Macaca fascicularis: one gene and its partners. The protein of the gene in region 4 interacts with the protein of the main gene of each other region in a biochemical or structural test. Links are inferred from orthologs where the notes say so. Each region holds a gene or a part of one and is shown on either strand. Other genes may lie near its edges.

What was found.
Region 1: of the proteins of UBE2I (region 4) and PML, one has a biochemical effect on the other in vitro, tested with the Homo sapiens proteins (13 studies listed by BioGRID, with this or other methods). The link is inferred for Macaca fascicularis from reciprocal best matches to the Homo sapiens genes UBE2I and PML.
Region 2: of the proteins of UBE2I (region 4) and HNRNPM, one has a biochemical effect on the other in vitro, tested with the Homo sapiens proteins (2 studies listed by BioGRID). The link is inferred for Macaca fascicularis from reciprocal best matches to the Homo sapiens genes UBE2I and HNRNPM.
Region 3: of the proteins of UBE2I (region 4) and TDG, one has a biochemical effect on the other in vitro, tested with the Homo sapiens proteins (3 studies listed by BioGRID). The link is inferred for Macaca fascicularis from reciprocal best matches to the Homo sapiens genes UBE2I and TDG.
Region 5: of the proteins of UBE2I (region 4) and ELK1, one has a biochemical effect on the other in vitro, tested with the Homo sapiens proteins (3 studies listed by BioGRID and IntAct, with this or other methods). The link is inferred for Macaca fascicularis from reciprocal best matches to the Homo sapiens genes UBE2I and ELK1.
Region 6: the proteins of UBE2I (region 4) and TOP2B form a complex in vitro, tested with the Homo sapiens proteins (2 studies listed by BioGRID, with this or other methods). The link is inferred for Macaca fascicularis from reciprocal best matches to the Homo sapiens genes UBE2I and TOP2B.
Region 7: of the proteins of UBE2I (region 4) and NACC1, one has a biochemical effect on the other in vitro, tested with the Homo sapiens proteins (2 studies listed by BioGRID). The link is inferred for Macaca fascicularis from reciprocal best matches to the Homo sapiens genes UBE2I and NACC1.

What each region holds. Positions count from the first base shown.
Region 1 is NC_088381.1:50,946,282-50,950,596, forward strand, and holds part of PML (protein PML), read left to right. Parts: intron 1-2,607; coding exon 2,608-3,188; intron 3,189-4,315.
Region 2 is NC_088393.1:9,162,608-9,166,922, reverse strand, and holds part of HNRNPM (heterogeneous nuclear ribonucleoprotein M), read right to left. Parts: intron 3,596-4,315; coding exon 3,535-3,595; intron 1,028-3,534; coding exon 926-1,027; intron 1-925. UniProt on the Homo sapiens protein: Pre-mRNA binding protein in vivo, binds avidly to poly(G) and poly(U) RNA homopolymers in vitro. Involved in splicing.
Region 3 is NC_088385.1:110,915,433-110,919,320, forward strand, and holds the end of TDG (G/T mismatch-specific thymine DNA glycosylase), read left to right. Parts: intron 1-1,171; coding exon 1,172-1,314; 3' UTR 1,315-3,092; downstream 3,093-3,888. Other genes in the region: GLT8D2 (glycosyltransferase 8 domain-containing protein 2), read right to left, coding at 3,633-3,802. UniProt on the Homo sapiens protein: DNA glycosylase that plays a key role in active DNA demethylation: specifically recognizes and binds 5-formylcytosine (5fC) and 5-carboxylcytosine (5caC) in the context of CpG sites and mediates their excision through base-excision repair (BER) to install an unmethylated cytosine.
Region 4 is NC_088394.1:2,065,216-2,069,530, forward strand, and holds part of UBE2I (SUMO-conjugating enzyme UBC9), read left to right. Parts: intron 1-1,501; coding exon 1,502-1,611; intron 1,612-1,767; coding exon 1,768-1,847; intron 1,848-4,315. UniProt on the Homo sapiens protein: Accepts the ubiquitin-like proteins SUMO1, SUMO2, SUMO3, SUMO4 and SUMO1P1/SUMO5 from the UBLE1A-UBLE1B E1 complex and catalyzes their covalent attachment to other proteins with the help of an E3 ligase such as RANBP2, CBX4 and ZNF451.
Region 5 is NC_088395.1:47,740,528-47,744,842, forward strand, and holds part of ELK1 (ETS domain-containing protein Elk-1), read right to left. Parts: intron 1,087-4,315; 5' UTR 1,053-1,086; coding exon 843-1,052; intron 1-842. UniProt on the Homo sapiens protein: Transcription factor that binds to purine-rich DNA sequences. Forms a ternary complex with SRF and the ETS and SRF motifs of the serum response element (SRE) on the promoter region of immediate early genes such as FOS and IER2.
Region 6 is NC_088376.1:22,719,780-22,724,094, forward strand, and holds part of TOP2B (DNA topoisomerase 2-beta), read left to right. Parts: intron 1-35; coding exon 36-193; intron 194-347; coding exon 348-473; intron 474-1,390; coding exon 1,391-1,501; intron 1,502-1,582; coding exon 1,583-1,688; intron 1,689-3,194; coding exon 3,195-3,304; intron 3,305-3,626; coding exon 3,627-3,719; intron 3,720-3,815; coding exon 3,816-3,930; intron 3,931-4,315. UniProt on the Homo sapiens protein: Key decatenating enzyme that alters DNA topology by binding to two double-stranded DNA molecules, generating a double-stranded break in one of the strands, passing the intact strand through the broken strand, and religating the broken strand.
Region 7 is NC_088393.1:13,518,958-13,523,813, forward strand, and holds the start of NACC1 (nucleus accumbens-associated protein 1), read left to right. Parts: upstream 1-1,820; 5' UTR 1,821-1,928; coding exon 1,929-1,958; intron 1,959-2,247; exon of another isoform or gene 2,248-2,444; intron 2,445-3,014; coding exon 3,015-3,033; exon of another isoform or gene 3,034-3,153; intron 3,154-3,285; exon of another isoform or gene 3,286-3,476; intron 3,477-4,856. Other genes in the region: TRMT1 (tRNA (guanine(26)-N(2))-dimethyltransferase), read right to left, coding at 301-488, 648-790, 1,020-1,075, 1,169-1,428. UniProt on the Homo sapiens protein: Functions as a transcriptional repressor. Seems to function as a transcriptional corepressor in neuronal cells through recruitment of HDAC3 and HDAC4. Contributes to tumor progression, and tumor cell proliferation and survival.

The DNA of each region.
Region 1 (4,315 bases), on a different chromosome or scaffold from region 4:
ATTTTCTTTTTTTTTTTTTTTTTTTGAGACTGAGTCTCACTCTGTCGCCCAGACTGGAGTGCAGTGGCTGGATCTGAGCTCACTGCAAGCTCCGCCTCCCGGGTTTACGCCATTCTCCTGCCTCAGCCTCCGGAGTAGCTGGGACTACAGGCGCCCGCCACCTCGCCCGACTAGTTTTTTGTATTTTTTTTTTTAAGTAGAGATGTGGTTTCACCGTGTTAGCCTGGTCTCGTTCTCCTGACCTCGTGATCCGCCCGTCTCGGCCTCCCAAAGTCCTGGGATTACAGGCTTGAGCCACCGCGCCCGGCCGGGTTTTTATATTTTGTTTTGCTGCTGTAACAAATTACCACAAATTTAGGGGCTTAAATCAATGTAAATGTATTCTCTCATGGTTCTGGAGGTAAGAAGTCTGAAACAGGTCTCACTGAGGTATATTAAGGTGTCAGCAGGCTTTGCTCCTTTGGGAGGCTCTCAGGCAGAATGTTTTCTTGCCTTTCCCAGCTTCTAGAGGCTGCCCACATTCCTTGGTGCATGCCCCCTTTCTGTCTTCAAAGCAGCAACATCACAACACTCCCACCTCTGCATTCATCACATCTCCCCTTCTGCCTCCCTGCCCTTTCCTTTGTAAGGATTCACGTGATTACATTGAACCCACCCAGATAATCTAGAATGATCTCTTTATCTCAAGGTCCTTAATTGAGTAACACCTGCAAAGACCCTTTTGCCATAGTAAGGTGACATATTCACAGGTCTCAGGAATTTGCACGTGGACATCTTTAGAGGCCACTATTCTGCCTACTAGAGTTTGCATCTAGACTCTACCACTTACTAATCGTGTGAGCTTGAACAAATTATTTCGCCTCTTGCACCAGTTTTCTCATCCTTAAAATGGGGATAATAATGTTATCTATTCCATTGGATTGTCAGGAGGATTGAATGAATTGATATTTGCCAACACTTATAATAGTGTCTGATACACAATAAATGCTATGGAAGTATCTGCTAGCTAAAATATATTAACCAGGCTAGGAGTGGTGGCTCACGCCTGTAATCCCAACACTTTGGGAGGCTGAGGCGGATGGATCACCTGAGGTCGGGAGTTCGAGACCAGCCTGACCAACATGGAGAAACCTTGTCTCTACTAAAAATACAAAATTAGCCGGGGTGGTGGTGCATGCCTGTAATCCCAGCTACTCGGGTGGCTGAGGCAGGAGAATTGCTTGAACCCGGGAGACGGAGGTTGTGGTGAGCCAAGATGGCGCCATTGCACTCCAGCTTGGGCAACAAGAGCGAAACTCCGTCTCAAAAAAAAAAAAAAAAAAAAAAAAATTAACCAAATAAAAACATTAAAATACAAACACTTTGATCTAGCAAGCCTATATTTATAATCTATTTCATAGGAACAAAAGCATCCATGTTTAGGCTATATAACTTGGATATTACTAAAGTGTTGTCCATATTGGCACCAAAAGAAAAAAAGGAAAGGAAAAGAAAGAAAGAAAATACACAAACAGGAAATTACCTGAATGCCAGCAAAATGAGTGATTGAATCAATTGTAGCCCATCTGGGATATACCAGAGCTATTAAAGAGAATACATCTGATCTGTGCCTATGCACCTAGAGGAATGCTCTGAGTGAAAGTTTGTTAAGAGGAGGAAGTTACAAAGTAATTATATGAGTTGATTTCTTTCTTTTTTCTTTTTCTTGTTTTTTTTTTTTTTTTTTTTTGAGGCGGAGTTTCGCTCTTGTTGCCCAGGCTGGAGTGCAATGGCACCATCTCAGCTCACTGCAACCTCCGTCTCCCAGGTTCAAGCAATTCTCCTGCCTCAGCCTCCCAAGTAGCTGGGATTACAGGCATGCGGCACCACACCCGCCTAATTTTGTATTTTTAATAGAGACGGAGTTTCTCTATGTTGGTCAGGCTGGTCTCGAACTCCCAACCTCAGGTGATCCGCCCGCCTCGGCCTCCCAAAGTGCTGGGATTACAGGCGTGAGCCACAGCGCCCGGCCGATTTCTTTCTTTTCTTTCTTTTTCTTTCTTTCTTTTTTTTTTTTTTTTTTTTTTGACAAACGTCAATCCCCAAAATTGTAGATATCCAGGTCAATCATTTAACATGTTCTGTTTCTTCCTCTGGGAAATATGCATAACAATAATTCTCATCCAAGGGGCTCTCGCAAAGGTTAAGTGGCATGGCTGACATGTGTCAAGTCTGTACCATCCTGCAAGCAGCTGCCAGTCTGGCATTTGTGTAAAGCGGTTTCACTGGAGAGAGGTGTGGAAGGGTGCACCCCACAATGCTTACCTGGTGCTTCCTCAGTGAGGAAGGGAAATTCAGAAGTGGTGGAAAGAGATGATTGTCGTTTCGTATATCTTTGTATTGTTTCCCGGATGTTGAAATTGTTACTGTAGTAACTTTTTATACTCGTGTTATTGGTAGTTTGGATACTATCACCATAACCACAAACAATGAATTGGGAAAAGCAGAAACCTAGAAACACGCCATGATTCAAAGTCTGGTAATTTTGGAAAAGGAATTTTATAACGAACGTTTTAAGAGGAAAAAGTCAGGAGAGTCCTAACCCAGGCCAACCTTGTGTGTCCACAGCATCTACTGCCGAGGCTGTTCCAAGCCGCTGTGCTGCTCGTGCGCTCTCCTTGACAGCGGCCACAGTGAGCTCAAGTGCGACATCAGCGCAGAGATCCAGCAGCGACAGGAGGAGCTGGATGCCATGACGCAGGCGCTGCAGGAGCAGGATAGTGCCTTTGGCGCGGTGCACGCGCAGATGCACGCGGCTGTCGGCCAGCTGGGCCGCGCGCGCGCCGAGACCGAGGAGCTGATCCGCGCGCGCGTGCGCGAGGTGGTAGCTCACTTGCAGGCGCAGGAGCGCGAGCTGCTGGAGGCAGTGGACGCACGGTACCAGCGCGACTACAAGGAGATGGCCAGTCGGCTGGGCCGCCTGGACGCTGTGCTGCAGCGCATCCGCACGGGCAGCGCGCTGGTGCAGAGGATGAAGTGCTACGCATCGGACCAGGAGGTGCTGGACATGCACAGTTTCCTGCGCCAGGCGCTCTGCCGCTTGCGCCAGGAGGAACCCCAGAGCCTGCAAGCCGCTGTGCGCACGGACGGTTTTGACGAGTTCAAGGTGCGCCTGCAGGACCTCAGCTCTTGCATCACCCAGGGGACAGGTAAGTACGCAAGCCACCATCCTGGGCGCCCTGTGCCTCTGCTGCACCCTAGGGAAGGCGAGTCAGAAGAGATCGTCTCCATTTGACAGAAAAGGAAACTGGGTTTTTATTCAGTCTTTGGGATTTGGTAAGGTCTTAGGTTCCAGGACACAGGATAAGGGGGAGATAAGGCCCTGACAAAGGGCTGCAGCCACCCAGAGGGGACACGTTTTACTAATTTACAAGACTCTGGATTGACCTAGCGATGACTCATAGGGAACGAAAAACTGCAAAGCTGAGAATCAGACCCAGTATCATTTTGGCGCCAGAGGGACCAACCACTTCAGGAGGTTCTCTTAAGCCACCAGTGTCTCGGAACAGAGAAGTCAATTGGGACCTGGGGTTAGGGTAGAAGGGAGCTAAGAAAACCTCCGGGAGATGATTGGATGCTTACCCAAAACCGTACAGTGGCTCAGTGGAGGAGACCTCTTGTCTCTAGGATGACCTGCTGTCTGACAACCTTTGCACGCCCTGCCTAGTGTTGGGCACTTGAGAGGTAAGGAGACACAGACCAGTTTCTGATCTCAAGGAGCCAGAGCCACATCACATAGCTGGAGAATGAGACAGTGCTCAGCTCTGCAATCCAAATCCGGGAGATGTGGCAGCTGTGTATTAGCTGGAATAAGGGGACTTTCAAAGTAAGGGGTGAGGGGAGTGCACAGGAGGGTCTCCAGGACTCTTTGACTAAATCTCCAAGCTGGAATGTGAGCTCTGAGCAGCTGGTATAGGACGCCCTTACTGGGAAAGGGGAGGGAGGCTACGGAATCTGAAGGCACCTGGGTATGTGCCAGTGACAGAGAGCTTACTTACTTCTCCTGGAGCTGGACATGGATCATAAAGGATAATCTTAGAGGGCCTGGACCTGTGCCTTCTCCACCTAGGCAGTGAGTGTTACCCATATTAAGGAAGTGACGCCACAGAGTTTACACAGCTTGTCTTAGGTGTTATAACTGGGCAGTGGCAGAGAGAAGGATTATTTTATTCTGAAGCATAAGAGATTTAGATTTAATAAAAACCAGCCTGCAGATAAGGAAGATCATGGAGCTCTCACTATATGCAGAGAGTCAGTGAGCTGGGAATGATGGCTT
Region 2 (4,315 bases), on a different chromosome or scaffold from region 4:
TGTTAGCCAGGATGGTCTCGATCTCCTGACGTCGTGATCCACCCATCTCGGCCTCCCAAAGTGCTGGGATTACAGGCTTGAGCCACCGCGCCCGGCGGATCCCTGTCTTCTTAAAGACAACACTGTCCACCATGTTTCCTGTGACGGCCACATTGTCACAGAGTGAGGCCCTCTCCACCGTTTTTCTTTGAGACGGAGTCTCGCTCTGTCACCCAGGCTGGAGTGCAGTGGCGCGATTTTGGCTCACTGCAGCCTCCGCCTCCTGGGTTCAAGCAATTCTCCTGCCTCAGCCTCTCAAGTAGCTGGGATTACAGGCGTATGCCATCACACCCAGCTAATTTTTGTATTTGTAGTAGATGGGGTTTCACCATGTTGGCCAGGATGGTCTCAAATCCTGACCTTGTGATCTGCCTACCTCGGCCTCCCAAAGTGCTGGGATTACAGGCATGAGCCAGCGCGCCTGGCCTCTCCACCTTTTTTGCATCTATCAATGCCCCTAGCTCTCTAGCAGCAGCTGTGCAAACACCAGGAGGGCCCACGGGGTCTTGGTAAGACACTTTTCAGGGTACTGCAGCAGTGCTATGGTCTTGTGGTCAGGAGACCTGCAGCCTGTCACTAACTGACAGTGTGACCTTGAGCAAGAGCAACTCTATGGCTTGCCTCCTCTTATCAAATGGCACGACTATTTCAGCTTAGAAGGTTGTCGTGAGGTTACAATGAAAAAGTATAATGACTTTAAACAAGGATTCAACTTGATAAAAATACAAAATACTGCCTTTATTAAAAATGAGGCAGAGATGAATAGGAGGGAATTTTGTCCCAGTTAACTATTTATTCCATTTAAACTACTCAAAGTCCAGTTGCCCCAATAATTAATAATTTTCACTTCCCCAAAACCCCAAGCAAGGTGCACTATCATTCTCACCTGCGGGACCTATGTTTCCCATGCCGATGCCTTTATTCAGGTGATTGGCATCAATGGGTTGCCCTCCTGGTCCTAACCCCATGCCAATACCACCAAGGCCATCTGGAAGGAAAAGAGAAAGAAGTTTAGTTTTCCCCTATTTAGCAAACCGTGACCCTCAAAGGAAAAGAGTCTTTGTTTAGTGAGTTGCAGCTATCCACTCCAGCCTACCCACCCCCACCCACCAGTGACCCCAGGGCCCAATGCAAAATTCAACATCAGCACATTTGGAAACAGAACCTTGTTCTGGCGTTTGGGATATGTGTGTATACAACAAAGGCGGCTGAAAACCAACACAGGGGAAAGTTAACAACCCCCACACTAAGATTCTTGAGAGCCTATTTGTTTCACTAACCCATGGACTGAGAACTGATCAAAAAAGGTGACTCAAGACATCAGGTGGCAAGCAGCACAAATGTGCCCAATCCCTAGTAGCCCAAAGGACGTTTCTCATGAAAAAACACGTTGCAAACCAGCCAATCAACATCCTGGATGTACACTACTCTCTGAATCTGGGTGGTTTTAGTAACAATGAACCTAATGTATGTATTCAAATAACCTATCTTCCTTCCCCCAAAGCTTCCTAACCCACAACTGGATACCCAGCCCACACTCAACTCCATGCTCTACCAACACAAACAGGGACACAGAAATACAGGCTGGTCTCTGGAAACAGCCAAAAGAGCTGACACTTGCAATATTTGGGGTAACCACCATCTGAGGCTTAAACTACAACCAGGTAAGGTTTCAAAAATTATAACAAGGCCAGCCGCGATGGCTCACGCCTGAAATCCCAGCACCTTGGGAGGCCAAGGCAGGTGGATCACCTGAGGTCAGGAGTTCGAGACCATCCTGGCCAACATGGCGAAACCCCATCTCTACTAAAAATACAAAAATTAGCCTGGCATGGTGGCGCACACCCATAATCGCAGCTACTCGGGAGGCTGACAGGAGAATCACTAGAACCCAGGAAATGGAGGTTGCAGCGAGCCAAGACCACGCCACTGCACTCCAGCCTGGGTGACAGAGTGAAACTCCATCAAAAAGAAAGAAAGAAAAAGAAAAAGAAGGAAGGAAGGAAAGAAAGGAAAGAAAGAAAACAAAATTCATTTAAAAAGTAAATAAAACCTGCCACTACTTCCCAGGCGTTTAACCTGATTAACATTCCATCTTTAACTGCACAGCAACAGCAGCAAGAGATCACCAAGGTTACTTACTCCTCAAAACACTGAAGGCTTTGAAGTCAAGTCTCTGAAATGGCTGGGAGACCAAGAGCCATGGCTCCCTGGAGCAGTGTGCTCCACCTCCTGATCCAAAACAAGAGTCAACAACAGCCACTACCACGGTCCAGGGTGACCGCTGCTCAGATGAGCACACAGACAATTTATTTGGGAAATGAGTATGTTATGTCCAGGAAATGTGATCCTTCTCTAACTAATGTTGACTTTCAACAGATGAGCCTTCTCATGAAGCCACAGATTTCCCTTCAAGATACATCTGTCATGCTGCCTTAATGCTACGATGCAAAGGTGCTCTGGCCTGGGCTCCCATCCAACTCAGTAAGTGAGTAGGGCCCTCAGCTTGAGCTGCTGCTCCAGACCAGGCCCCCTCAACCCACCTGGTGGAGGTCCCCGCAGCACAGCACACACAGGCCTCTCACCCTCACCCATCTTCCTTCTCCAGGAGGGCTTTACCTGTGCCAGTGACTCCCTGAAATGTCCCACTGCTGTCTGCACTCAGGTTCTGGCTTCCCGTCTCCGGCTTACGTAGGACTCTGCACTAATATTTGCCACTTCTACCTACGTGGTGGCCCATCAACTAGCCTTCCCTGTCACAAGACAGATTTTTCACCTGGGTGTCACAAATAGCCGATCCCTTTCCCCTCTGCATAGAAATTATTTGTTCAAGACCCTTCACATACCATAAAACTCACTCAAAGTATTCAGTGGTTTTTAGTATATTGAGATAGGCAACTATCACTACCATTTAATTCCAGAATATTTTCATCACCCAAAAAAGAAATCCAACCTTATTAGCAGTCCCGTCCCCACTTACTCCTTCCTGGCCACAGGCAACCACTAATCTACTTTCTGCCTTTATGCATTTATCTATGTGGAGCATTTCCTGTAGATGAAATCAAGGTTCATCCACACCGCAGCATGTGTCTGTCATCCTGCTGCAAACAACTGTGTACGAATTTCTGTGTAGATGTCTAGTGTGCACTGCTAGTGCACATGGGACTAACCAATATCTTCTGAATTAGAGTGCAGCCTGGTTTTTATTCCCTTCACAGGTTCTGATTCTTCCCTCCCCAGGACACTTTCAAAATGCCTAACCACATCCTCTACATTTTGGTATTACAATCCTAGGATTAACACGAGGTAATCCTAACAATATCCTCAAACTGTGAATCTCTGCTCATTTCTCGCCCTGAAAAATCTATAGAAAAGAATTGGCCAAGAGAACTGAGGGCTAACCTGGCACAGGTTCAAGTGAAACTTTATGGTAATTTTCTGTTTCTTAGTATAACTCAAATTCAAACTCTCAGCCCTAATCACTGAAACACTTACGGGGAAGTTGTTGTGGACGCTCAGGAGGGAAGAAATCTCCTTTTGGTAAGGCCCTCTCATCCTGAAAGAGAAAGAAAACGAATAAATCTCAGTATCCAGTGCAGCAGTGTTTGCCACAGCCGAAGACTGAAATGGCCCCCCATCAAGAGAGGACTGGCTAAACACATTATCCACACCATGGAGTAATATGCAAGGGTGGAAAGGTATGTGGAGCGTGCTTCCTATTTTATGTCAAGGTGAAGGATCAAAAGACATATGGATATTATCGTGGGGGATAATGGGGACCTGGGCAAGAAGTCCAAGTAGGACTCACACTATCTTCACGCTATCTTTTCATATTTTTTGACTTTTGAGTCATATGAATCTATCATCTATTCAAAAAACTTAACTATTCTATTTACAGTAATGAAAAAATTGCTTTATAGTTTCTTTTATCTTTTTCCTGAATTTGAGCCCCGACTAGATTGCCCCCAGCATGTTCCAGTCATGCCTGTAGTAATTATTATCTTTGGCACAGCCACGGCAGAGCAAATGTTTATTAAGACTGAAATGCTCCAACAGACCTTTAAGAGCTGTCTGAATCAATGACTTAATTATGTTCACAAAAGACTTGATGCTAACCAAACATTATACTGTAATACTCTGAAAAACTGGAACCCCACATACATAACTATTCTTTGAAACAGATCACTTGCTCAACCAGGATACCCAGGTGACTACCTGTATGTGCCATGAACAGTCAACTGTGCAAAAGGAAAAATATCTAATGCAGTCAAGAGTT
Region 3 (3,888 bases), on a different chromosome or scaffold from region 4:
ATAGAAGGAGAGTAAATGATTGAAGAATGGGAATGGTAATATGAAATTTTATTTAGTGACTAATAGTGAAAAATTGATGGTTATTTCACATTGAATTACACAGACTTTTACAGTGCATTTTCTGTTTGTTTGTTTGTTTTTGAGATGGAGTCTCGCTCTGTCACCCAGGCTGGAGTGCAGTGGCGCCATCTCAGCTCACTGCAAACTCCGCCTCCCGGGTTCACACCATTCTCCTGCCTCAACTTCCCGAGTAGCTGGGACTACAGGCGCCCGCCACCACGCCCAGCTAATTTTTGTTCGTATTTTTAGTAGAGACAGGGTTTCACCGTGTTAGCCAGGATGGTCTCGATCTCCTGACCTTGTGATCCGCCCCGCCTCAGCCTCCCAAAGTGCTGGGATTACAGGCGTGAGCCACTGTGCCTTGCCTACAGTGGTGCCTGGCCTACAGTGCGTTTTCTTTAAGTCATGAACTCTCGGCCATCTTAGTTGCATTTTCCTCCTTTAATAACAAATGAGGATTAATAACAAATGAGTCCTGTATCTGAAAAATAGAACAGAAACTTATAATTGTATTCAGGAAGCTTGCTTAACTATTTTAATAATAATTCTCCTTCACTAGACTGTTAAAATCTCCTACTTTGATCATTTAAAACTTCCAGGTCGGGCATGATGGTTCACAGCTGTAATCCCAGCACTTTGAGAGGCTGAGGTGGGTGGATCATTTGAGGTCAGGAGTTCAAGACCAGCCTGGCCAACATGGTGAAACCCCGTCTCTACTAAAATATACAAAAATTAGCTGGGCATGGTGGCAGGCACCTGTAATCCTAGCTACTTGGGAGGCTGAAGCAAGAGAATCACTCGAACCCGGGAAGCAGAGGCTGTAGTGAGCCAAAATCACCACACTGCACTCCAGCCTGGGTGACAGAGTGAGACACCGTCTCAAAAAGAAAAAAAACTTCCAAAGAAGCTGATGTGGTGGCTCACCCCTGTAATCCCAGTGCTTTGAGAGGCTAAGATGGGAGGATCACTCAAGCCCAGGAGTTTGAGGCTGCAAAGAGCTGTCATCGTGCCACTACATTCCAACCTGGGGGCGACAGAGTGAGACCCAGTCTCTATTTTAAAAAAAGCAAAAATTTCTAAATGGCATAAACTAACTTTGTCTTTCTGGCAGTTGACAGTGTGGAGTTAAGAGGAGAATCAACTTTCAGTGGCATTCCTAATGGGCAGTGGATGACCCAGTCATTTACAGACCAGATTCCTTCCTTTAATAATCACTGTGGAACACAAGAACAGGAAGAAGAAAGTCATGCTTAAGAATGGTGCTTCTCAGCTCTGCTTAAATGCTGCAGTTTTAATGCAGTTGTCAACAAGTAGAACCTCAGTTTGCTAACTGAACTGTTTTATTAGTATTTTACTCTAGTGGTGTAATTGTAATGTAGAACAGTTGTGTGGTAGTATGAACCTTATGAACCTAAGTAGTTTGGAAGAAAAAGTAGGGTTTTTGTATACTAGCTTTTGTATTTGAATTAATCATCATTCCAGCTTTTTATATACTATATTTCATTTATGAAGAAATTGATTTTCTTTTGGGAGCCACTTTTGATCTGTAATTTTAAAATACAAGTCTGAATATTTATAGTTGATTCTTAACTGTGCATAAACCTAGATATACCATCATCCCTTTTATACCTAAGCAGGGCATGCTAATAATAATTACCACTGTCAAAGAGGCAAATGTGTTGATTTTTGTATATGAAGTTAAGCCTCAGTGGAGTCTCATTCGTTAGTTTTTAGTGGTAACTAAGGGTAAACTCAGGGTTCCCTGAGTTATATGCACACTCAGACCTCTTTGCTTTACCAGTGGTGTTTGTGAGTTGCTCGGTAGTAAAAACTGTACCTTACCTGACAGAGCCCTGGCTTTGACCTGCTCAGCCCTGTGTGTTAATCCTCTAGTAGCCAGTAACTACTCTGGGGTGGCAGGTTCCAGAGAATGCAGTAGACCTTTTGCCACTCGTCTATGTTTTACTTGAGACACATAAATATGATAGGGAAGGAACTGTATTTCTCCATTCATATTTATCACCATTCTAGTTTTATCTTCCTTGGCTTTAAGAATGTGCCATGGAAAGTGATAAAAAATGAACTTTTAGGCTAAGCAAAAAGATGCTGGAAATACTTCATAATCTCACTTAAACTGGTGCTTTATGTACATGAGATGTACTAAAATAAGTAATATAGAATTTTTCTTGCTAGGTAAATCCAGTAAGCCAATAATTTTAAAGATTCTTTATCTGCATCGTTGCTGTTTGTTACTATGAATTAAATGAACCTCATGGAAAGGTTGAAGTATATACTTTTGTGATTTTCTAATGAGTTTTCCATGGTGCTACAAATAATCCAGACTACTAGGTCTGGTAGATACTAAAGCTGGGTACTAAGAAATGCCATTTGCATCCTCTCAGTCACTCCTGAATATTCTGATTTCATACATACCCAGGGAGCATGCTGTTTTGTCAATCAATATAAAATATTTAGGAGGTCTCCCCCACCCCCAGGAGGTTATATGATTGCTCTTCTCTATGAGAGAAACAAATTCTTGTTAATCTTAACATGCTTTTTAGCTGTGGCTGTGATGGATTTTATTTTTCCTTAAGTCTAGGTCAAGCTGTGTAAAAGTCATTTATGTTATTTAAATGATATACTGTACTGCTGTTTACATGGACGTTTTGTGCGGGTGCTTTGAAGTGCCTTGCATCAGGGATTAGGAGCAATTAAATTATTTTTTCACGGGACTGTGTAAAGCATGTAACTAGGTATTGCTTTGGTATATAACTATTGTAGCTTTACAATAGATTGTTTTATTTGAATGGGGAAAATACCATTTAAATTATGACAGACATCCACTAGAGATGGGTTTGAGGATTTTCCAAGCATATAATAATGATGTTTTCCTAACATGACAGATGAGTAGTAAATGTTGATATATCCTGTACATGACAGTATGAGACTTTTTCATTAAATAATATTGAAAGATTTTAAAATTCATTTGAAAGTCTGATGGCTTTTATAATAAAATATATTAAGAATTGTTATCCTTAAGTTATGGGCTTTTTCTGTAGCAAAACTGAGTGGTATTCTTTCCCCTTTAAACCTGAGGTCAGTTTACCTTCTATTATATTTAACATGTAGAATAATAACATGATAAAAGTCATAAAAATGATGAATATTTTATTTTTCAGACATCCATATTTTAAATGCAATAGTTTTATAAAAGAAAAGATTGGCAACCTGTTAAAAAGATCTACATGTGAAAAATACATTTAGAAGTTTTAAAAATTTGTGGATATAATTGTTATTCAGAATTAAGCAGATTGATTACTGGTATCTAGATGGGTCTGTTCCTTTATGTTTTTCAGTCACATAATCTCAATTTCCATAGTTAACACATGTACTTAAAGAAGTCAGTCAATGCCTATATGGTCCAAGGTATAATTTGCACACAGTAGTTTTTGGTTTTTATATTGTGGCTCATCTGTATCAAAGGTAATGTTCATAAAGAACAATGTTATAGTTGGCTACAAAGAGACAATTCCACATTTCTAGACAGGGAATATTTTAAGGGTAGAGTTATATCAGCTATGGTGATTGAGTTTAAATATCCCTGCAGGGTCAGGAACAAACCAGCTTTCCCATAAGTCGTTGTGAACACTAGGGAAGTCCCAAGGTTTATGTCTTCCATTCCAGTGGAGTAATTTAGCTTCCTGCAGAAAATGCTCCGAATATCTGGCATCTGGATTCCAGCCTTCATTGTGTTTAAAGAAAAAATAATAGGCTTGTTAGAGGATAACATTTTTGTATTATAAATTGAATACAAGTTCATAGTTTAAA
Region 4 (4,315 bases):
GATTGAGAAATCAGATTAAATTGAAATTAGGCACTTGCGTTTGCCAAAAGATTCTCTTAGAAGTGTGAAAAGTAGGGCTGGGCACGATGGCTTACACCTGTAATCCCAGCACTTTGGGAGTCCGAGGCCAGTGGATCGCTTAAGGTCAGGAGTTTGAGACCAGCCTGACCAACATGGAGAAACCCCGTCTCTAATAAAATAGAAAAATTAGCCAAGTTTGATGGCGGGTGCCTGTAATCTCAGCTACCCTGGAGGCTAAGGTGAGGCGGGAGAATGACTTGAACCTGGGAGGTGAAGGCTGCAGTGAGCCGAGATTGTATCACGTCACTCCAACCCACGCAACAGAGTGAAACTCCATCTCGAAAAATTTTAAAAGCAAAAACTCAAGCCCCGAGCAGGAGAAGAGGCCTGTACGTGCCACTTGAAGAGCTCCAAAGCAGTCGCCAGGAAGCAGTCCGGGCTGAAAGGGGCGCTCCATGGTCACCAGGAGACGCAGTGGAGGCCGCTGTGCACCTCACCCAGTGGCTGGAATCCACCAGCGACAGCCCGCGTGAGCAGCCTGGAAGCAGCACGGCTTGAGGACCGATGCCGTGACCCCACATTGCACAGCAATGCACTCACGCCAGTGTTCATACTCAGGATGGCCACGCAGCTGCTGGTGTCGCCTATGGGCTCCTGCAGTGTGGGATGGTCCGCCGTGTGGGATGGTCGCAGCGTGGGGCGGTCTGCGGTGGTGTCCTCACTGCATTCTCCAGGGCGTGTGCCCTGTGCGCTCCGTGGTACCTGAAGTCCAGGAAGCTGCCCCTGGGTGTTGGAGTTGGGATTACGGGGCAGACGCAGTGGTCGGTAGGAGCGAGTGTTCGGGAAGCTGTAGGTGTTCGTGGCGCGTCGGCTTTGAGAGAATTCCTCAGGCTGCGCTGGACTTGCCGCACTGTGTGTCTTCCATAGCATTGAGGGAGAATGCCCGGGAAAAGACGGGAAATAGCCTGGAATATCAACGGTGATGGCCCCGACGGGGCTAATGGTGGCAAACTTCTTTGCTTTTTTGTAAAGAAATAACACAGGGTCCTAAAAGCCCATGTGTCCTGGAAGCAGAGGGTCTGCGTAGGAACTGCCGACTCTGGAAGGGCCTTGGCTATGTCCCTGGACATCTCCCGCAGCTCCTCCTATCTCCCCTGAGTCTGGCCCAGCTGGGAAGGACGTGGGGGCCTGTGTTCCCAGACGGCCTGGCTGTGCCGGGAGTTCTGTCCTGGGAGAGACACGGCTTCGTCTCTGGCCTGCGGCCGTGTCCCCAAGGCTCTGTCCCCTGCGTGCAAAGGTGGACATGTCTTCCTCTTGCCTCCTCGTGGCCACAATGTTATTTTTTTGGAAAGTTCTTGGCCACATAACCTGGCTCCCAACCCAGTGGCCCAGTGTTGGGAGGGGGTGGCGGGGGGGAAGGACATGACTCGGGGACAGTGCCTGCCTGCAAAAAGCGCTTCCTTTCTTCCTCGTTCTCCAGGTAAATTCGAACCACCATTATTTCACCCGAATGTGTACCCCTCGGGGACAGTGTGCCTGTCCATCTTAGAGGAGGACAAGGACTGGAGGCCAGCCATCACAATCAAACAGGTACGGGGCCTCCGCCACCCATATGGGCCGGGCTGCCTCCGTCTCCCCTCTGGACACGCGGGTCTGCAGTCATTCTCAGTGGCTGAGGCCGAGTCTCACCGTGTCCCCCTTTCAGACTGCTCACACCCCTGTCTTGTGTTTTTGTTTCTGGCACAGATCCTATTAGGAATACAGGAACTTCTAAATGAACCAAATATCCAAGATCCAGCTCAAGCAGAGGCCTACACGATTTACTGGTTAGTAGCAGCCCTCGCCCCGCTGCTGGCAGCTCCTCTCCATCCCAGCCAAGGCCGCCTGGCAGGAGGGGAGCGGAGCACACAGGCTCACCCTAGAGACAGCCAGGGTCCGCACCTCCAGGGGAAGGTCGGGGCATAAACCCTGTGGGCAGCAGGCACCGACGCACAGGGTGTGCCGTGGGCGTGGACGGTGCCGGAGCCCTGTCTGGGGGAGGGAGCAGGCCAGGTGACGGGGGCTGTCTTGGGCCCCTACTAGGAGGGGAAGGGCCTGGCCATGGGTGCCGGAGGAGGCCATGCTGAGGGGCTTGTCCACCTGCTCAGCCTCCTGTGGACCCCAGCCTCTTGCACTGCCCCTGCTGCTTATCCCCAGCCCCGCACACTTGGCTCCTCCTGTGGGGGCCCAGCACGGCTCAGTGATGTGATGCTGTCACGTAGGCTCGGCTCCCACCCGGTCCCTGTGAGGTGCTGCTGTGGCTACAAGGGTTCCCGTGGTCCTGGGGTCACTGTCTGCACTGAGGAGGGCCTGGTGTGAGTGAGGATGCAGACGACAGCCAAACAGTGCTGGGGACAGCAGGGAGGACCCTGCCCTGAGCAGACGCCACGCGCCTGCCTGTCCTGTCCCCAGCCCTGGGGGCCGCCTCTGCAGCTGCTCTGGGCAGGTCCATAAGAAGGTGGGTTGGGGGCTCTGACCCCCACTGCTGCACCTGCAGCGTTGAGAAACCCAGTCCCATCTCAGCGTGGGTGCCCACACCTCTGAGGGGGTCTCGGGGGCCCCAGTGGCCGGGGACCCAGGAGACTCACCCTGCAGCCACCCCACACGTGCCTGCCACCATGGGCATCGGAGGCACGCTCCCTCCAGGGGGCATCTCCTGGTCGGGAGTGGGAGGCTGAGGGGTCACCGTTGCCCTAAGCCCAGCCCGCACCGGTTGTGAGGAAAAGCACCTGGTTTGGGCCGGGCGCAGTAGCTCATGCCTGTGATCCCTACGCTTTGGGAGGCCAAGGTGGGCGAATCACGAGGTCAGGAGTTTGAGACCAGCCTGACCAACATAGTGAAACCCCATCCCTACTAAAAATACAAAAAGTTAATTGGGCGTAGTGCTGGGTGCCTGTAATCCCAGCTACTCGGGAGACTGAGGCAGGAGAATGGCTTGAACCCAGGAGGCGGAGGTTGCAGTGAGCGGAGATGGAGCCACGGCACTCCAGCCTGGCAGCAGAGCAGGATGCCATCTCAAAAAACAGAAGGCACCTGGCTTTGGAGAGATGTGTTTCTCCCTGGATGCAGGCCCAGCCCAGGTGTCTGCAGGGTGCCCTCCCTGCTGGCTGAGGGTGGCACAGAGGCCCCAGGCAGGGAGCAAGTGTCACAGCAGCCACCCCAGCCTCAGCCTGGCTCCCCTGCACACCTCACAGACGCTCAGTCGGCCGAGCCATTGCTGGAACTGGCTCGTGGGATGTGGCGTGGCCTGGGTTTGTGTGTTGGCCTGCTGTGCCCTAGGAGTTCCGTGAAATGCATTCCACTGGGCAGGAAGCCACAGTGCTCAGGAGTGTCACGTGGCCCTTGAGGTAGAAAATATTTTCTTTTTTTTTTTGAAACAGAGTCTCACTCTGTCACCCAGGCTGGAGTGCAGTGGTGTGATCTCGGCTCACTGCAACCTCCGCCTCCTGGGTTCAAGTGATTCTCCTGCCTCAGCCTCCAAGTAGCTGGGATTACAGGTGCACACCACCACGCTTGGCTAATTTTTGTATTTTTAATAAAGACACGGTTTCACCATGTTGTCCAGGCTGATCTTGAACTCCTGACCTCAGGTGATCCACCCTCCTTGCCTCCCAAAGTGCCGGGATTACAGGCGTGAGCCACCGCGCCTGGAAAATGTTTTCCAGGCCATGTGTGGTGGCTCACGCCTGTAATCCCGGCACTTTGGGAGGCCAAGGTGGGCTGATTGGTTGAACCCAGGAGTTCACGACCAGATTGGGCAACACAGCAAGACCCCATCTCTACAAAAAATGAAAAATTTGCGCCGGGCGCGGTGGCTCAAGCCTGTAATCCCAGCACTTTGGGAGGCCGAGATGGGTGGATCACGAAGTCAGGAGATCGAGACCATCCTGGCTAACACGGTGAAACCCCGTCTCTACTAAAAATAAAAAAAATTAGCCGGGCGTGGTGGCGGGCACCTGTAGTCCCAGCTACTCGGGAGGCTGAGGCAGGAGAATGGCATAAAACCCGGGAGGCAGAGCTTGCAGTGAGCTGAGATCTGGCCACTGTACTCCAGCCTGGGTGACAGAGTGAGACTCCGTCTGAAAAAAAAAAAATTGCCAGGTGTAGTGGCTCACGCCTGTAATCCCAATGCTTTGCAAGGCCACTGCGGGAGGGCTGCCTGAGCCTGGGAGTTGGAGACGAGCCTGGGCAGCAAGGCAAGACTACCTCTCAAAAAAAAAAAAAAAAAGTTAAGCCAGGCATGGTGGTGCACGCC
Region 5 (4,315 bases), on a different chromosome or scaffold from region 4:
TGGTCAGATATGTCACAGGGTGGGCCCGTGTTTCTCAAAAGAGGAACGAAAAGGGATATTCATGAATATTGTTTGGAAGTTTCAGCAGGAGGAATAAGAAGATGAAATAACTTGTATAAATATTGGGGGGAGGGGAAACCCAGCAGTGGCCTGGGGGTCTGAGAGGGCAGAATGGGGGAAATTTTAAATTTTAGCTGTAGGAATAAGATAATGAAAACAATTGATATAAATATTGGGGTAGACCAGTGCTGCTCTGGGAATTTAAGAAGATAGGGTGTGGAAGCTGGTACTAAACATGTTGTTGCAGAGGTTTTAGCTTAAGGAATAAGAAAATAATTGGTTAAAGATGTTGGGGTCCCAGAGGACAAAGTAAGCAAAAGTTGGTATAATACTGTCAGGGAGGTTTTGATTCTAGGAATATGAAATATTCTGGAATAAGAGAAGACTATGAAATAACTAGGGAAGCCCAGCACTGGTCTAGGGCTTCCAGAGGACAGAATGAGGACCAGCCATTATTAACCATGTTTTCAAAATGTTGGCTATAGGAATATGACACGAAAATGAAATGCGCATGGCAGGGCAGCATCACTGTGGGGATCTCAGAGTGGGAGTAGGAGTCAGTATTAATAATGCAATGATGGTTTTTGCCAAAGCAGTAAGACAAGAAAGTAGGTGAGATAGTGCTTAGGGGCCCAATACTGGCCTGACGGTACCAATGGATGGGTTAAAAACTGATAAATTTTAACATTGTTTTCAAAGTCATAGCTATGGCAATCAAAACAAAATAAAATCTCTGATATAAATGTTAGGGGGGGTCCCAGCCCTGGTCTGAGAGACTGTACCTTGTCATAGTAGTACCGCAAGGCCCGGCTGAGCTTGTCGTAATTCATGTTGGTCTTGTTCTTGCGTAGCCCCCACAGCCGGGCCACCTCCTCTGCATCCACCAGCTTGAATTCACCACCATCCCGTGAAGTCCAGGAGATGATGTGGCCATTGCCTTGCTCTCTCAGCAGCTGCAGCAGAAACTGCCACAGCGTCACAGATGGGTCCATCGCTGGGGGAGTGCTCACGCCATCCCAGGGGTACCTGGAGGGCAAACAGCTGAGTTGAGAGGCTGTGGACATAGGAGGGGCAGAGGTCAGGGGGAGGAGGATTCCTTTTTTTGTCATCTTTTCTCCATCTCTGTCCTCAAACCCTACCATCATTCCCTAAACATTCCCAGACTAACTTCTAGCTCCCCAATCCAGCTTGGGATGCTCCCTGTGATGGGATACAACTCATGAGTATCTTAGGATGGTGTGAATGTATTTTGCCTGTGGGACAAATGTGAATCTGTGGCGGTCAGAGGGCAGACTGTGGTAGGCCAGATGATGCCACCCCTGTTCCACATCCTAATCCTTGGAACCTGTATGTTATTTATACTACGTAGCAGAAAAGAACTTTGCAGATGAAATTAAGGTTACAAACCTTAAGACAGGGAGATTATTTCTGGATTATTTGATTAAATTCAATCTAATCATATGAGCTCTGAAAAGCAGATGATGAAGAAAGAAAGGTAGCTCAGAGATGTGATGACAGAAGAGGCAGGGGAGATTCAAAATGTGAGAGGGACTCAACCTGCCATTGTTGGCTTTGAAGATGGAGGAAGGGGGCTCAGAGCCAAGGACTGTGGGTAGCCTCTTAAAGCTGGGAATGGCCATCAGCTGACAGACAGTAAAGAAACAGGGAATTCAGTCCTACGACCTCAAGGAATTGGATTCTGCCAACAACTTGAATGAGCAGGAAATGGATTTTCCCCTAGAGCCTCCAGAAGGAACACAACCCTGCCAATACCTTGATTTCAGCCCACCGAGACCAGTATGGGACTTCTGACCTATAACAATTTTTTTTTTTTCTGTGGACTCTCAAAATTCTCCTCAGGTCAACAGGTATAACAGCTATAAATATAACTCATTATTTTAAAAAAAAATTTTTTTTTTTTGAGACGGAGTCTCGCTCTGTCACCCAGGCTGGAGTGCAGTGGCGCCATTTTGGCTCACTGCAAGCTCCACCTCCCGGGTTCACGCCATTCTCCTGCCTCAGCCTCCCGAGTAGCTGGGACTACAGGTGCCCGTCACCACGCCTGGCTAGTTTTTTTTGTATTTTTAATAGAGACGGGGTTTCACCGTGTTAGGCAGGATGGTCTCGAACTCCCGATCTTGTGATCCACCTGCCTTGGCCTCCCAAAGTGCTGGGATTACAGGCGTGAGCCATTGCACCCAGCCACAAATATGTTATTTTAAGCAGCTAAATTTGTGATAATTTATTACAGCAAGAATAGAAAATTAGTTCCATCCCCCTTATTTGAGTGTTATCTGTATCTTCTACATACCATATAAATTCTACCATATAAATGTTAAGTTTTTCAGGTTTTTTTGCCAGAGCCTTGCAAAGGCTGCTCACTCCACGTGGGGCTTCCTTCTTCTGCCTAGCAGTCTTTCTCATCTTTCAAGTTCCACCTTGAAGGTCCTTTCCTTTATGAAGCCGTCCTAAAACTGAACGCCTGATCTCTCTGTCCTGTTACTATCCCTGAATGTTCTCTTTGTTTTTTTTTTTTTTTTTGAGATGGAGTCTCTCTCTGTCGCCCAGGCTGGAGAGCAGCGTAGTGGCACAATCTTGACTCACTGCAACCTCTGCCTCCCAGGTTCAAGTGATTCTCGTGCCTCAGCTTCCCGCATAGCTGGGATTACAGGTACCCACCACCACGACCGGCTAATTATTGTATTTTTAGTAGAGACATGGTTTCACCATGTTGGCCAGGCTGGTCTTGAACTCCTGACCTCAAGTGATCCACCCACCTCCCACCTTGACCTTCCAAAGTGCTGGGATTACAGGTGCGAGACACCATGCTCGGCTCTGAATGCTCTCTTTCTCGATGACAGCAATAATTAACATCTACTGAGAGCTTAATACACATCAGGCACTGTTCTAAGCAGAGGCAATATGACCTGCTGGACAACTGCCCAGGCACTAGGGCCAGACTGCCAGTGTTTGAATCCTGGTTCTGCCACTTATTAGCTGTGTGACCCTGTGCATATTCTTTTTCTTTTCTTTTTAGAAATGGGGTCTCACTACGTTGCCCAGGCTGTTCTTGAACTCCCAGGCTCAAGCAATCCTCTCTCCCTGGCCTCCTAAAGTGCTAGGATTATAGGCATGAGGCACCACGCTTGGCTGATATTCTTTAACCTCTTTGTACCTCAATTTTCTCATGTGTAAAACAGGGATAATGATATGCCCATTGCTAAAATGGGGATAACAATACCTAGTTCATGAAGATATTGTATAGATTAAATATTATATGCCTGAGGTATATGATAAGCTCTAAATATTAGTTTCTGATTTGTTCATAGTCCCTTATCTGCTATTCCAAAATCCAAAATGCTCTAAAAGCAGAAAGCTTCTTATACCTCTTTTGGCAGCAAAACCTGATTTGAAATGAAACAAGGCCCTTTCTGGTCTTTATTGATTCTCACTTAGTGTGAGAGTGTTCATACATTTTGCTGCATAAATATGAACACAGCCGACTGCAGAGCTTACTAAGGGGTGTTATGTAACATCGTATATGCATCATGTTACCTTCCTGAAATCTGAAGAAATTGAAATTCTGAAACGCATCTGGCACCAGGGGTTTTGGGTAAGGGCATGTACACCTGTACTGTTATATTTTTTTAATGGGCATTGACTCATTTATCCCTTATCACGCCTCTGAGAAGTAGGTAGTCTTACTGTCATTAATTTATAAATGAGGCAGCGGAGGCACAAATGTCTACGTACCTTCCACAGTCCACAAGTGGCAGAGCCAGCATGTGGAGCCAGGCAGTCAGGTTCCAGTGGGCTAAGCATCTCACCATTAGACTAAATGGCCCCTCACACCAACTGCTTCCTCTTAGCATGTCCCTCAAAGAACAGGATCCTCCCTGTCACCCCATTACTGCTTTCTTTCCTGAGAGCAAACTGGAAATAAACATGAGCTTCCTGTTCAATTATACAAGTCACAAAGCCATGAAGTGTCCGATTAGAGAGTCCTGTCACCAGAGACCTCACCGAATTTGTTTTGCAGGCAGGCTTGTTTCAAAAGCCCAAAGAGTTCAGAGTGACTCCTGGTGGCAAAGACAGGCAATTTTACCAGTTCCTCTTTCAGCTGCAACAGCACCTATCAGCTGAGTGAAAGGTCACGGTGGGCTTCCAGCTTCAATAGCACATACGGCTTTGTATTTTGTCATTTCTCCCACTTGACCCCTCATAAGAGTTCTAGCAATCTGCCTTGCTTGGATAT
Region 6 (4,315 bases), on a different chromosome or scaffold from region 4:
AATTTTTACTATGTATAATTTTAAATTTCTCTCAGGTGGCAAACATTCCCTGGAGTGTACACTGATATTAACAGAGGGAGACTCTGCCAAATCACTGGCTGTGTCTGGATTAGGTGTGATTGGACGAGACAGATACGGAGTTTTTCCACTCAGGGGCAAAATTCTTAACGTACGGGAAGCTTCTCATAAACAGGTATATATGTGTATATATATGTATACACACACGCACACATACACATGACATTTCTAATACTTTACTAAACTTGTGGAATTTTTAAATGTAATTTCTGACTCATTGTATATTTCAACACTTTGAACTACTTTCAATGCTTTTCCGTTTTGAACAGATCATGGAAAATGCTGAAATAAATAATATTATTAAAATAGTTGGTCTACAATATAAGAAAAGTTACGATGATGCAGAATCTCTGAAAACCTTACGCTATGGAAAGATTATGATTATGACCGATCAGGTTGGTTTTAAAGTTACCATATATTTTAAATTCATGTCTTCTTCAGATTCTACTTTTAATATTTGTTTTATGAGACTTGCCCCAAGATAGTATAACTGAAAGTGATTATACATCAGGGGAAAAAATAAAAAAACTTCATCTTTTAGTGGAAACATTTGTATGAAGCACATTTTACATTATCTAATTTTTGGGGTAACAGTCTTATGGGTTAGTTAAAAATATTTTAAAATGCAATATGTGTGAGGAGAACATAATACAGTGTGGTAGTATGGCAGCCTGCCTACAAGCAGGAACAAAATTGTGGAATTAACAAGTAAGAAAGATTCATGATAATGGTTAATATTTATATATGATGGCATGATTTGGAATGCACAAATACCAAGAAGACTTAAATAGTAAAATGACAGTAATCAAGAACTAGAAAATTGAAAAGTAAGGATTTCAGATGCATTCAACTATTTTCTCTTACACACTCTAAAGTATTTGTAGAGAAAATCTGCAACTGAAAAAACTATTAATATGTAGTTTTAAGCAGAAATTTTCCAATTTTTTATCTAAGGAAGACTTGTGAATATCTGTATTACCTGGATTTCCCTACCATTGCCCATTAAGGTGGCATCGTAGCCATGTTTTATTTTATGTATTTTCCATCCTTAAATCATTCTTTTAGTGAAATCTGGGGAAACTATAGAACAGATACAATGATAATATATTTTTATAATGACATTCAGTCTATTACTACTATATTCTTTATTTACATATTAAGAAAAAATTTAGTGTGATCATCTTAATAGCTTTTGTAAAGTGCATTTCTAAAATTCAGAATTTTGTTTTTTTGCATTCACAGGTTTTAAAATTTGTTTAATCATTTTATAAAAGTATTACAGGATTTTTTTACTTTACTAACATTTATTTAGGATCAAGATGGTTCTCACATAAAAGGCCTGCTTATTAATTTCATCCATCACAATTGGCCATCACTTTTGAAGCATGGTTTTCTTGAAGAGTTCATTACTCCTATTGTCAAGGTACTCTTTGCATTAATATATTTTTATATTGTTGTCTTAAAGGGTAGCAGAAAAACTAATTTTTTTTTTAATTAATTCAAGGCAAGCAAAAATAAGCAGGAACTTTCCTTCTACAGTATTCCTGAATTTGATGAGTGGAAAAAACATATAGAAAATCAGAAAGCCTGGAAAATCAAGTACTATAAAGGTTTGTATTTTAAAATACTTAGATTTTAAATATTGATATAAATGTATTCTTATGAAAGCAATCTAAAAGACATCTTGAAAGTTTGACTCTATTTTAGACTTCGAAAATAGCTATCACTGATTTTAAAATATTGTTACAGAAAAATTTATGCAAATAGAATAATGTAATAGATTCCATTGAATGGGATCACCATTCCAATGGCCAGTCTTGTTTCCTGTAAACTTCCTTTATTGCCACTCCATTAGTTTGAAAAAACTTCCAGACATTATAGTCTAGTATTTCACCTATAACTAGTATGTATTTCTAAAAGAATTTCTTTAAGTAACCCATAATACCATTATCATGACCTTCTTTAATATCCTATTGTTGAGACAGGGTCTCGCTTTGTCACCCAGGCTGGAGAGAAGTAGCATGAACACAGCTCACTGCCACCTTGACCTTCCGGGCTCAAGTGATCCTCTTGCCTCAGCCCCCCAAGTAGCTGGGACTACAGGCGTGTGCCACCACACCCAGCTAATTTTTGTATTTTTGTAGAGATGGGGTTTGGTTTGTTGCCCAGGCTGATCTTGAACTCCTGATTTCAAGCCATCCACCCACCTTGGCCTCCCAAAGTGCTGGGATTACAGGTGTGAGCCACCATGCCTGGCTCCCTTTTTTTTTGGATAATGTTAAATACCCAACCAGTGTTAAAATTCCCCTGGACTGTATTAAAAATGTTTATTTTTAGAGTTTTTTATTTTTATTTTATTTTTTTGAGATGGAGTCTTGCTCTGTTGCCCAGGCTGGAGTGCAGTGGTGGGATCTTGGCTTACTGCAACCTCTCCCTCATGGGTTCAAGTGATTCTCATGCTTCAGCCACTCGAGTAGCTGGGATTACAGGCTTGTGCCACCATGCCTGGCTATTTTTAGTAGGGGCAGGGTTTTGCAGTGTCGGCCAGGGTGGTCTAGTCCTGGCCTCAAGTGATCACCCACTTTAGCCTCCCAAAGTGCTGGGATTACAGGCATGAGGCACCGTGCTTAGCCTGAGTTTTTTTTTTTTTCCAAAGTTAGGATCCATATAAGGTCCACACATTGCATTTGATTGATAAGTTTATTAATACAGCATTTCTCTTTTTATATTTTTTCCTTGTAATTTATTTGTTAAGTTGGGTTGTTTGTTCTGTGTAATTTTCCACATTCTGGATTTTGTTAATTATATTCCTCTAGTTACATTTAATATATAGTATTTTCCTGTGCCCTTATTTTCGGTTAACTGATGGTTAAATCACAGGCGTGATCAGATTTGGGTTACAGTTGTTTGGCAAAAACATTTCATAGGTATCGCTGTGTACTTTCATCAGGAAGCATCTAATGTCTACTTTGTCTTTAGTTGCTTATTAAGATTGCAGTTGGTATAGGTGTTGCCAGCGTGATCCATCTGTTACAACTTTTCCACCAACTTTTCACTTGATGGTTTTGAACAGACATTGATATCCATGACTCACTTTTATTTTTAAAATTGTGCAGGATTGGGTACTAGTACAGCTAAAGAAGCAAAGGAATATTTTGCTGATATGGAAAGGCATCGCATCTTGTTTAGATACGCTGGTCCTGAAGATGATGCTGCCATTACCTTGGTAATTAAGTTAATTCTTTAAAAGCTTTTGTTAGCCATCCCCCTACCTTCTGTTCCTTTCCTCCCAGTCCTGGTTCCCTATGAAAAGTCTCTTTTGAATGCTCAAGCTAGTTAATTTTAGTTTTTTCCCCAGATGATGCTGTGCTAGTATAAACTTCTTTAATTGAAAGACCTTAGTTCAAATGTGTTTTTGATAAAAATATTGTAAAATAACCTAATTTTCCAGAAATTAAGAATTAGTTATTGGCCAGTTATAAGTTTTAATTTTGTAATTAAATTTATTTTATTTTTAATGTGCAAAATCATTACCTGGAATCTTTCAGGCATTCAGTAAGAAGAAGATTGATGACAGAAAAGAATGGTTAACAAATTTTATGGAAGACCGGAGACAGCGTAGGCTACATGGCTTACCAGAGGTTAGTCTTAAGAGTGGTGACCTGGGGGAAGAAGGAGAGAGAGACTAGAATTCATGCAGTAATAATGATAATATTGCTATATAACTTTTCTCTTAGCAATTTTTATATGGTACTGCAACAAAGCATTTGACTTATAATGATTTCATCAACAAGGAATTGATTCTCTTCTCAAACTCAGACAATGAAAGATCTATACCATCTCTTGTTGATGGTGAGTAATGTTTATTTAAAAACCTCATTTTTGTATTTTATTTACTATAGTTTAATTTTATGTACTTTAAGCCATCCTTATGATACATATTAAAATTCTTACTTGAAATTTTGTATATGAAGAACTTGTTCAGACGAATTTAAGGCCTTTTTGATTTTGCTTTTGTTACATGTTTTCATAGTGCTGAAATCTTTAATATTCCTTAATTTGAAACTTTTAAACCCTTTCTGAGTTTTTCAGGAAAATTAATTTTAAAAGTCTTAAAGCTTTTGCCCAAGTTGTCTGCAAATTTTCTAAAATACAAAGTAAAATGGAATTTTGATCATTTCTAGAATATTTATCAGAGATTAAATTTTAAAAAACTTTTATTCCGCATTATCCAAAG
Region 7 (4,856 bases), on a different chromosome or scaffold from region 4:
TAGCAGACACTGCATATACTATGGCTCATTTGAATGAATAAAAGGAGTATAAGAAGTTAAAACAGAGACCAGAATGCTACTTATTTCTGGCACAGAGTATGGATCGTACAATAATTATCTATTACTTACTCATCACAGCAACCCCTGTAAAACTAGTTTTCTCAGTTGACAGACAAGGAAACTGGGGCTCAAAGAGGCTAAGTCACTCACTCAAGGTCATAGAGTGAGAATAGGAGAGAGCCAGAATTTTGATCCCAGGCAGCCTTGTCCCATAGCTAGGCTGTGATGCCCAGAACCTACCGGGCATCTGCTTGGCTGGGCTGTACCAGGTGTGCCACGTCATTGAGCTGGACATTCCGGCGTATGAGATCCACAGCCCGGGCAGAGGTATCGTTTGCAACCACAGATCTGAGCCCAGGCACCTCTAGGGCAAATCTAATGGAACGTAGGCCTGAAGCTGCCAGGCCTTCCAGCACATGCAGGCCTTCCTGTTGGAGTGAGCAGAAAACCTCCCTCACACCTCCATCTCCATCCTCTTCTGGGCCCCAAGGAGCCCCCACCACCCACCTCCTATAGCTCTCCCCCTCCAGGAGCCCTCTGTCTCCCGCTAAATTCCAGGACTGCCAGCTGCTATGCTCAGGCCCCACCTCACAGATTTCCCCCACGGCCGCTGTGCGAGGTTGGTCTCCTGAGGCCAGGTTTTCATTCTCTTTCAGTTCAACCTTTTCCTCCTCTTGCTCTGACAAGTCCACGACCACCTTTTGCGCGTCCTTCTCTCCTGGCACCTTGACTGCAGCCACCCAGAGGCACAAGTCAGAGAGTAACGAAGTCCTCTCTGAGAAACCTCCCCTTAATCTCCAAAATATCTTCCCTGAAATCCCTGGGGAAAGGCTGAAGGAGCAGAACCCAGGGCCTGCTATGTGGCTGAAGCCTCTCTGGATTTGGGCGGCAGAAGGGCCCAGGCAGGGAGATAAGACTTGTGTGACCCCCGCCCGCCAGAAGCCTGGACCTCCACTCACTCTGGATTCCTTTGGCCCCAAGCTGAATGCGAGCAAACTCGGTGATCACAGCACATCTGGTGGGAGACAGAGGACTAGCTCATACCCCGCCCCCGCCATCCACACTGACCCACTAGCCGATGCCAGGCTGACCTCTGACCCCTGCTCACGTCAGGTCCCGATTGAATTCCTGCACCGGGTTATAAAAGACCTCGTTGGCGCTGGGAAAGGCGATTTTGGCAGCCCCCTCGGTGATTGTCGTCTCCTGGACTTCACGTGGGCATTCTTCTCCGCAGGGCCCGGTGCCGTTCTCCATCGCTGCTGGATTCGGCAGCCCTGGGGACTGCCCCTCGAAAAACCGGGCTGTACAGAGCACACGGGTGGGGCGGAGAGTGAGGCTTAGCCACAGAACGATCCTTGCATGAGACATCCGCTGGTGCCTCTGTCCGCCAAGCCTGGTTCGGGGGGCGGGGAAAGGCACAGAGAGGGTCAGAGAGCCGCATTCTGGGCCCGGGGGTGTCCTACATATCTATGAAGTAGAAACTAGGAAGACCTGCGGCCTCGGTAAGCTGATAACCCCTTGTTTTGGGGATGACTGGTTCCTGCGGAGCCGATGCCCTCGTGCAGGCCCGCCCTGAGTCCGAATCCCTTCCCGCACTGCCCAGCCCCTCCTCACCTGGTCTCGTAGCCACAGAAAACCGAATTAGTCAAGGTGCACGTTTCCCAAATTAGGACCTGGGCGCCGCCATGTTGGCACGGTGGGTGGGGGAAATCACATGATAGTGGTTGGCCAATCAATGAGGACGTGGACGGTGGGCGGCCGGGATCAAAATGAATGCCATAAAGGAAGCGCGCTGATCATGCTGTTCCGGGGGTTTTAATCACAGTGGATCCCCTGGGAGAGGACACGTCACTAGTCCCATTTCACAGATGAGGAAGTTGTGGCTCAGAAAAGGGGCGGTAAGCGGAGAAACCCAACAGCTATTGGTCCTCTTCTGTGTTCTGGGTGCTATATACACATTATTTCAGAGCACTCTGCAGGGATAACTCAGGCTCTGGAGTTGGATTTACTGGGTTTGAATCTCAGTCCCACCACATGCTCGGGGCCGGTTACTCTAGGGCCTTCAGTTTTCTTATCTATTAAATAAGAATCGTGGTTTCTCAGATAGAACAAAGATTAAATGACAGATTCCTGGAAAGTGTGTAAAGAGCCACTCTGACCTTGTAAGCGCTCGGTAAAGTTCTAACCAGTGTACGAAGGCAGGACAGCGAAGTGGTTCCCGGGTACCTGGGTTCCAGTCTTAGCTCGCCCTGCGACTTGTTGTTAACTCTGAACTTAAGTTACCGCTTTTGCAAAAGGGCAGAACTTTTTACCATTTGTTAGTGGGTTGTAGTGAGAAGTAAACGAGTTAGTGCACGTAAAATGCTAACAGAACCTAGCATCCGGTAAGCATCATAAAAGTCTTAGCTGTTATTGTCGCTTTTGAGCCTGCGTTTAAATCCTGGCACCCGCCATCACTTCCTTGCTGTGTGATGATCTTGACCAGCTTTCTTTGTGCCTCCTTTTCTGTCTTTCTTTATTTTCTTTTTTTTTTTTTTTTTTTTTTTGAGACGGAGTCTCGCCCTGGATCATGCAGTGGCATGATCTCGGCTCACTGCAACCACCGCCTCCCGGGTGCAAGCGATTCTCCTGCCTCAGTCTCCCGAGTGACTGGGATTACTAGCGCTTGCCATCACGCCCGGCTAATTTTTGTATTTTTAGTAGAGACAGGGTTTCGCCATATTGGCCAGGCTGGTTTTGAACTCCTGACCTCAGGCGATCCACCCACCTCGGTCTCCCAAAGTGCTGGGAGTACAGGCGTGAGCCACCGCGCCCAGCCGCCTTTATTTTCTCTAGTGTGTAACAGTTCCCACTAAAAAATGTTACTGTGTAGTTTAAACGAGCTAATTCCCATAAAGAACCTAACACGGTGCCTGCTGCAATAAACAGCAGTCATTATTGTTTTTGTTTTACAGGAAACTAAAGTTCGGAAAGGTAGAGCGACTTGCCCAAGGTCGCGGGACTAGAAGGTGGCGGGGTCGGGATTCGAACCACCGAGCTGAGCCGACGTACCGGCGAGGATCCTCCCAGGGGCATAGAGAGGAGACGGAGCCGGTTAGATGGGGCGCGCTCGGAGCTCGGCTGGCCTCGCCTGGAGGGCGGGGCCTGAGGGCGGTGCGCGGGCGGGGCCGGTGCCGCTCCTCCCTGGCCTGGCTGCGGCGGCGGCGCGGCTTGCGCTCGCTCGGCGCTCGGCTGGGGCGGCCTGGCCCACAATGAATGGCCGCCGCGGCTGCCGCTGCTGCTGAGGCGGAGGCCGCGGAGGCCGCGGAGGCGGAGGCCGAGGCCCCGGCGCAGGGGGGCGCGCCCCGGGCCCAGGCCCGGCCCCAGCCGCCGCTGCGGAGCCCGCCGGGAGCCCCCGGAGCTCGGCCACGGCGCAGGTGAGGCGGCCCGCCTCAGGCCCGGTTCCGGCCTTCTCCAGCCGGGGCGGCCCGAGGGCTGAGTGGGGAGGGCCTGGGTGCTTTCTCGGACTGAGGAGGAGCCGGGCCCGCAGCCTGCACTGTGCCCGGGCAGGCGTGTGTGTGCAGGCCCGGCTACCGCGGGCAGACTTGAGCGTCCAGCCCGAACCTCGGGGCTTGGGGGCGGCAGGATCGTACCTGGACCGCTCCCCCAGCTCCCAGCGAGGGAGGGGGCCAGGTCGGGCCGGGGCGGGTACCGGGGATCCAGGGAAGTTAGAGGGTCCGAAGCGGAAAAGTGAGGAGGCGCCCGTGGATGCCGGAGGGGGAGGGGGAGGAGGAGTCGGGCTCTGGCCAGGCCGAGTGGGGGAGGAGAGGAGAGCGGCGCGGCCGGAGGGGGGCGGGGAGGGGCCGGGCCTGCAGGTACCGCCTGGGCGCTGGAGGAGGTGGGTGGGTCAAGTTACAGGCCTGGGGGCGGCTGAGGAGAAGCCCAGGAAGTGGGGCACGGTGGGTGTGGGCGGAGTTAGTTCGGGTGGGGGCGGATAGGAGATCCCAGAGATGTTTTCCGGGGGTCACATGAGGTCAGGACTCAGATGTGGGGAGGGGGAGGCTAGATCTGGGGGCGATTAGGTAAGGCGAGGGACTGCTGTAGGAGCTTTGCGAGTCGGGGGAGCAGAGCCTTTGGGCTAGGCTGGGGGGATGTGGGGGCAGGTCAGGAAAAGCTAGTGTGACCAGCAGGTATATACTGAGATGCGCCCCCCATCGACCCCAACTCGAAGTGTTAGTTCAGAGTCACATCTAAGGGGTTCCCTCATTCCCACACCTCATCCCAGAAGCCTCTAGAGTCCTGACCCTACCCCTTGGGCAAGCCTCTGCCAACTGTTCAAAGGCGCTGGCCAGTGGGTGTTTGTGTGGGCAGCTGGAGACAGTCTGGAACACCTAGCTTAGGCATCTTGTTTATCACAAGGTGGCCCTCGCCCACCCCCACCTTATATATCTACAGGGAGGCAGCCCAGCAGACATTACCTGAGTATTTTAGGATCCTGCGTTCTTTCTCTACCTTTTGTGGCCAGAAGCTGGTGGTTCAAGCCTAGTGGATGGGACCTCATAGCCACCGTCATATATATTAGTACCATGGCCTCCCAGGCACCAACTCCTTGAGCCTGAGTTCTGTGTGCCACCTCCCTAGGGGTGAAGAATTAGAGGGAGTGAGCATGTAAAACTCTGCTAATGGTGGTTTGGAGGCTCCCGATGGGGTAAAGGCAGGGCACAGAGAAAAGTTAAGGGGATCAAATCAGGCACTCACACCCTGGCCCAGGGATCTACCTCTGGGACACTAGTCCTGGGCCAGGCCCTGTGCCGAGC